2 linked regions of the Kluyveromyces lactis genome follow. The protein of the gene in region 2 purifies or fractionates together with the protein of the main gene of each other region. This does not show direct contact. Links are inferred from orthologs where the notes say so. Each region holds a gene or a part of one and is shown on either strand. Other genes may lie near its edges.

What was found. Proteins that work in one complex are often made in the same cells at the same time.
Region 1: the proteins of TAF13 (region 2) and TAF2 purify together in Saccharomyces cerevisiae (affinity purification with mass spectrometry; 4 studies listed by BioGRID). This does not show direct contact. The link is inferred for Kluyveromyces lactis from reciprocal best matches to the Saccharomyces cerevisiae genes TAF13 and TAF2.

Annotation. Positions count from the first base shown.
Region 1 is NC_006039.1:177,282-181,485, reverse strand, and holds the start of TAF2 (transcription initiation factor TFIID subunit TAF2), read right to left. Parts: upstream 2,943-4,204; coding exon 1-2,942. Other genes in the region: GOR1 (glyoxylate reductase), read left to right, coding at 3,867-4,204. UniProt on the Saccharomyces cerevisiae protein: Functions as a component of the DNA-binding general transcription factor complex TFIID. Binding of TFIID to a promoter (with or without TATA element) is the initial step in pre-initiation complex (PIC) formation.
Region 2 is NC_006040.1:863,332-865,907, reverse strand, and holds TAF13 (Taf13p), read right to left. Parts: upstream 1,046-2,576; coding exon 566-1,045; downstream 1-565. Other genes in the region: ERO1 (ER oxidoreductin), read left to right, coding at 1-228; ARG81 (Arg81p), read left to right, coding at 1,612-2,576. UniProt on the Saccharomyces cerevisiae protein: Functions as a component of the DNA-binding general transcription factor complex TFIID. Binding of TFIID to a promoter (with or without TATA element) is the initial step in pre-initiation complex (PIC) formation.

The DNA.
Region 1 (4,204 bases), on a different chromosome or scaffold from region 2:
TACCGCACTACATCAAGCAAGAATTCCTTAACAAATGCAGGGCAAACACCCTCATCATTTTTCACTGAAGAAAGAAGTTTTGGGATTGCTTTCTGCAAGAAATATTTTGGATAGTCGGAAAAGTCATTGTTTTTGGGAATATTAGAGTCCTCGTAACAGAAAAGCTCCCTGAATATTTGAACCAGATGCCTTGGGCCTCCCTTGAATTCTTGCTGTTCTTCAGCTTTAATTGTAAATTTTGAAAGTGCTCTACAAGCAGCAAGACGGACACCATGAAAGTATTTTGGATCCATTGCTGTTCGAGTGAGAATGGAGGAATATATAAGGGAATTAGATGTGCCGTTCAAAATCACATCTTCAAAAAACCTGACACTTTCCACTTGCGCTTCCACGTCTCTATCTTGTTGTAACTGAGAGGCAAACATATAATCAGGTTGATTAATGTGCACTTTCGAAATCCACTCAAAATCGGAGTCTATTCTTATCCATTCGAAAGCCTCATTCTGCTGCTGTAAGTCATCGCCTTCTGAAGTTGTCATTGGGTCTGTTAAATTCCATTTATTACAGTCATCTTTGCTAACGAGTACATCCCCCATACAATTAATAAGCACTATATCTTCGTTGGCATTTTCCTCCTCCTGTGTATCCTCATTGATTTCCTCTTTCGCTTCCTTTGTCACTCTATTAACCTTCCTTCTTCTCTTTAACCTTTTATATTTAGTGTTATACTGAACATCCAATTTTGTAAATACATCCTTTAGTTCAACAATATGTTCATACGGAGTTCCGTCAGCTTCATGGATTCTGATTGTCATGGATCCGGTGAACACCTGAGTAGGAGATTTGTCTTGATCTTGCAAATATTCCATAGCACTAGAATTGAAATTTTCTTTTCCAACGATTTTACCTAATCCTAATTCCTGCATCTGAACTTGTCTGATGCCCATTTCAACTGCCATTCTCTTTTTGTTAAATCTTTGCGTTATGCGGAATATTGGAACACCGGATCCGTATACCCATTGCTTGAAGAAAGTTTCGAGTCTATTTTTGTTCACACGTTCACACACTCTCTGAAAATGGGTACTAGACAATGAGTTATTGGTCAATTCCCCTGACATAGCTTGTAAGTATATTTTGGGCAATACTCGGGACATACCGAATGACCTTTCTGTTTTTGTCATTCTTCTATCGAGAATAAAAAGCACCATTGGAGCCTTTAATTTTATAAAATTAATTTCCTTTGATAGAGTTGATATAGGTAAAGAAGCAGAATCAAAAGTAGTTCCGATTGGCTGTTTTTCCCAATCCTGTTCAACTATGGCTTCCGATGCCATTTTGATCCTGAATTTGTACTCATTGACACCCATGAGCTTTCGTATTAATTGTAATACCATGTATCCCGCCATGCCAACAACGCACCATAAATCATTCAATTCTAGAGGAGTGATGTTAACGCCAGACCATTGGTTTGCTAAACCCCATGCAAGTGTGTTGGTTGTAGGATAAATTAAGTCTATAATTTCTGGAGGATATAGCATTCTGGAATTATAAAAGGTGGCGCTTGTGAAATCCATCAGGTCAGTCGTTAAAGTTGGTAAAAACAGCAAAGAGTACGAGGTAAAAGGATATGAACCAAACTCTTTAGAATAGAAATCCATAATTTCCTGGCAAACAAGAGTAGAATTGAGGATAGTTTTTTCGTTCAAATCGACAGTTGGCAATGTGTAAACAAATATAGGAATTTCATCACGAGGCTCATCAGCTAACACTTGCTCCTGTTGCGGTATTTTAAATTCATCCATCTCTTCATCTTCATCGGCCTGTAAGATTGAAGGTAGTTCTATAGTCTGGAAGGCACCGATAGCCCAACCGATGTGGTGTGGGGCCACGGGAGTGAATATCTGGAAGGAAACTGTCTTCTTTGCCATATCCATTGGATGGGCAGTTACCTTTCTCGTTGCCATTTCAGAACATACGACCACGATTTCTCTATTCAGATCTTCGTTTTGGATAGTCCCATCCTCATCCTCATCATCCTCTTCCTCTTCATCTTCGTCATCTTCATCATCGTCTTCCTCCTTCATATGTTCATCATTCGCATTCAAATTGGATCTCCTATCTCTTGCAGTCCTCTTTCGTAGGTTTCTTGCACCAACAACTTTAGTGGTTCCTATGTCCCGCACCCTCTTAGGTACTGATATTTCTAAATCCCATGTGCATTTCTCATCCAAGGAGTCTATGCATGGTAACCAATGTGATACAGAACTATTTAGTTCTGAGTTTGTTGTATAAGCATTCCAAAGATGAGGTTCAGGGGATATGGTATCAAAGCAAACACCTGTGTGTGGATGGTCCAATTCGTAGTCTACCCGTAAAGTCAACGGGGTATATATTGTGTCGTTAGGGAAAGTGCTCGGGGTGTTTCTTAACGAGGGAGTTATACCGGAAGTACCAGCAGCGGTTCCTAAGTACGCAGATAGGGTGTTTACGTCATGCGGCAGAATCTTCACAGAGGAGGGCACTTTAACTAATAGCTGCGATTTGGATGAACCTTCAGGATTATGGTTAAACTCTGAAAATTTCTTTCTTAATAGATGGCTCTGTTCTATGCCGTTACAGTTGTAGAGTATATCATCCTCAGAATTATTCAAGTAAGAGTCTGACAGTTTTTTGTAAGGATCATCATGCACAAAATTATCCAACCGTCTGTTCTCAAAGATGATATCCTTTATTCTCATATTCTTACAATCCAAAGCTATATATTCGAGATTAGGGGTCAATGGCATAATAATCATCTCAGTAGTACCCACTATACAGTTCTTCGAAAGGTCCACATCTATCTGTACTCTCTGATGGGCAACCTTGAATTGTGGTCCAAATTGTTGTTCCACTACTGGGTACGCCGAACCTGGTGTCTTAGGTGTCGATTTCATTTGTACCATATTCTGTGTTTGAAATTCAAAGTACAGAAGTACCGCAAATAGAATCGTAGTTTAGTGCTTAAGTTTCAACGTCTGATCAATTCCGTCTGGTGCCTCTATCTATATCACGTTTCGAAGCATCTCTAAGTATACCTTCAATATCAATTCAACGTATATAATAATAATATCATATACAGATGCATATATATTATTCAAATTTCAAGATTTTGTTTGTTTGAATATTGACCATGCGAGAAATTTATCCGGGTAATGCGGGTTAGGATGACAAGGCATCAGCGGCGGTTGAACATTCATTCATTCATTCCACCTTGAACCACGTGATTGTCTTTCTCTTTGGAAAGCTGTTAATACCTGGCGACACTCTCTCTACCCACTCTTCAGGTAAAAATGGCATGTGGTTGGAATAGGAAAAACGGGAATTTTGCCCGTATCTCGAAACCACGGTACCGTGTTAGGGGCGATTGACACAGCAATCCATTTCTCTTCGCATTACATGATCCATAAGTGAAGTGTTATGGGTTGCAGTATAGCATGCTTAGTTTATCAGATGATGGAAGCTCCGGGTGGTCACAAGATGAAAGGATGTATTAACCGGAATTTTTTGAATGTCTTCTGTCTATCTCTCTATCTATCTATCTATCTGTTTCTTGTTTGTAATCATTAAAAACGCTGCATGGGTATCTTCTTACGAGTTTTTGCAACGCAATCAGGAAAAACCACTACCGAACATCAAAACCTTTATAAGGTTACAGCAATTGCAAAGGCGACGGTATCGACTTGACACTTCAATTGCACCTTTATAGTATATAGTAGGGGAGGTATTACCATTAAATTATATCTTCGCTATTCGTAAAGTCTATACCAATTTCTTTCTGAAGGTCACTGAAGAGATCGGATAGGTTGATAAGACAGCATCAAGTGAAGATGTCAAAGCCAGTTGTTTTAAGATTAGGTCAGGTTAAGTACGCTCAAAAGGCATGGGAAGAGCTTTCAAAGATTGCACAAGTTATTCCAATTGACCCATCCCTCACAAGAGCTCAATTCTTAGATCAATGTCAGGATCCGGAATCACCAATTTCTAAGGCTCAAATCTTAACCAGAACGTTCCCAAGTGTTAAGAACACTGGAAGATTTGATGCTGAATTGGCTAAGGCATTGCCGGAATCCGTTGTTGCTATTTGTCACAATGGTGCCGGTTACGATCAAATTGACCCTACGCCATTTGGTCAACGTCACATCCAAATTTCCAACGTTCCAGAGTT
Region 2 (2,576 bases):
GTTCGTGAACAGGCCAGCGGTGTATTCAAAGAAGCATGGGATGTAGAATGGAAGAATTTCAAGCAAGCGTTGCGGTTTATCGTAACAAGTTATACGGACCTACCTTCCACTGTTAGTAAGTACACTGTACTAAAGCTCAATAAACTCTGGAACAAGTTTATTGGTGTTCCAAACTATCTCGAAGAAGGAGAGGAGCTTGAATATCCATCCTACAACTACGAAGAATAGATTAAAAACCTCTCAAATTGTCATTTTATATGACAATTTGTTTATAGATATTAAGAACTACAGGAGAACCAGCTGAAAATTCCAATTATGAAGATAAAGGTGATTATGTTCAAATAATACCCTCTCATAAGCTATTCATTTGGTTAATATATAGCTAATAGAAAAAATAAACGTATATGTTGCCGCTAAGTATGCATAAATATGGCATTTTGTTCAGAAAGGCGTAATACTATAATGATAGAATTTATATGAGGATTGCTTTGTTTTTTCACTTCTTTTGCCCAGCAAGAGAAGGATTTCAAGTACAGATATGCTAGGGGTAATGCGAATGTAACTCTCAGCTTGTTTCCCGTTTCTTCTTCTTAGGAGGTTCATTTCCCTTTTTCCTTGGTCTGCCTACCGGACGTGAGGTAGGAACGGGTTCAGGAACCGTTGTCGTCTCCTCATCTTCATCAGCCGAAATGTGGTCATCATCACCGTCATCTTTCACTCGTTTCAAAGATTTCCCCTCTGAATTATCAAATTGTTTCCTGGCATCGGTAATAACTTTATTCATCTTAATCAACTCTTCAGCTCTACCTAATTTCACCTCGTCCTTTCGAAGTACAAATCTGAAATCTTCCACTTTAATCTTATTCCTCTTCACGGTTTGAGCCGAGTAGTACGCATTGGCACATATATCGCTCAAATAAGACACCACCAATTCGTCTACACATTGAATGGTCTCTGGTAAAGGTTGCGCGACATCACCAAACGCATACATCAAAGAGCCAACATCTTTACTGAAAAGACTTGTTTTACGAATTCTTCTGGACATTCCTGTGTTGATCTAGAACTCCAACCGACTAGTCAGCTCTACTCCATGGAATGGACGAATGCGCTATAAGCTAAACTGTATAGCTTGATCATTGTTTCGTGATTTTGATTCTGGTTCTGAGTTTTATGTCAAACTGTCAACTTAAACACAGCGAAGAATAGTGCGAGTTTGCTTTTTTTTTTTTCGCAGCAAAAAATCGCTTGCGTTTTTTTGTCCCCAAATATCATGCGCAGTCCATCCAACAGTTAAGCTATATAGGGAGCTTTTTAGCGAGAAAGAAATTGACAAATCGCCTAACCCTTCCGCTTGTGTGAAAATTTTGAGAAAAGACGAACAGAGGAAAGGACATGACAGATCCACATCGCATCTTCTGAGGATCAGATAAACAGAGCAATGATAATAAACCGATTAGTACCGCTCAAGATAAGGTTTTAGTAGATATTATTGTTCCAACAGTGGCATCATTTAGACGCTCATCTGCGTGTGGTTGATATTGAAGGTTTGGTAAATATTGGAGGCTATTTTTCCTTCACAGCGACTGTGAGTCAAAGAGGATACAAGCAGGAATGAAGCCTGCGAAGCCCAGAGTGAAGACGTTCACGGGATGCTGGACATGTAGATCAAGGAAAGTAAAGTGTGATCTTCGGCGGCCCGGATGTGAGCGATGTGAGAAAGGTGGGTTAATATGTGGAGGATACGATGTAAAACTTCGGTGGACCCGGCCAATTCAGTTTGACACTATGGGTAATGTGACCGCAACACCTACAGGAATCAAAGATCCAGATGAGCCTCAGTATCAGAGAAGAAACGTTGATTTCGTTCGGTACAAAGAGGAATATGTGTATTATGAGGATATGGACGATGAATTATCAGCGTTAAGCTCTCCTCCTTTAGAGCTCATCTCTGAAGACAAGACTTGGATTATAAAGAAATTTGGTGTGTTCAAAGGCACAGATAAGGTCAAAAAAAGGTACGTGCCACGGAAGAAACGTAAGAAGAATCAAGTTTTCATTAATGCCATCGAAAAAGCTCAGAAGAAACTAGCTAATAAGAAAAATAAGGTTAAAACTGCTGATTCAGATTCGAAAGAGGGCACAAATTTATGCACTCCAGAAGATATGGAATCATCATCTGCTAATGATGATCATACATCTGCGCAGCAGCTTCATTCCCTATTCGAATTCGATATGAATTCTTTGTTGTTTCCTGGGAACGAGTGGATCTCAAATGAACTACGGGACGATGCATTACTATCGGCGTCCGCAGTGCAAGGGGAAACAATACCATTTATGGGTATTCGTCAGAATAATACACCGGATACGCCACAAACTCCTCTCACAGTAGATAATATGGGGAAAAAGAATGGTAGTGTTAATGGTAATTGTAATGACGGTCGCACATCTGGAAACGATAATGAAGACGAATTGGCTAGAGTCTATCGGCTCCTCTTCCATAGAAGAGGATCTTCTGATCAACCGCCACCTCCGACTATTACTTCCGAAACTAAAAGTGGTCATGCAAAGGAAACCAT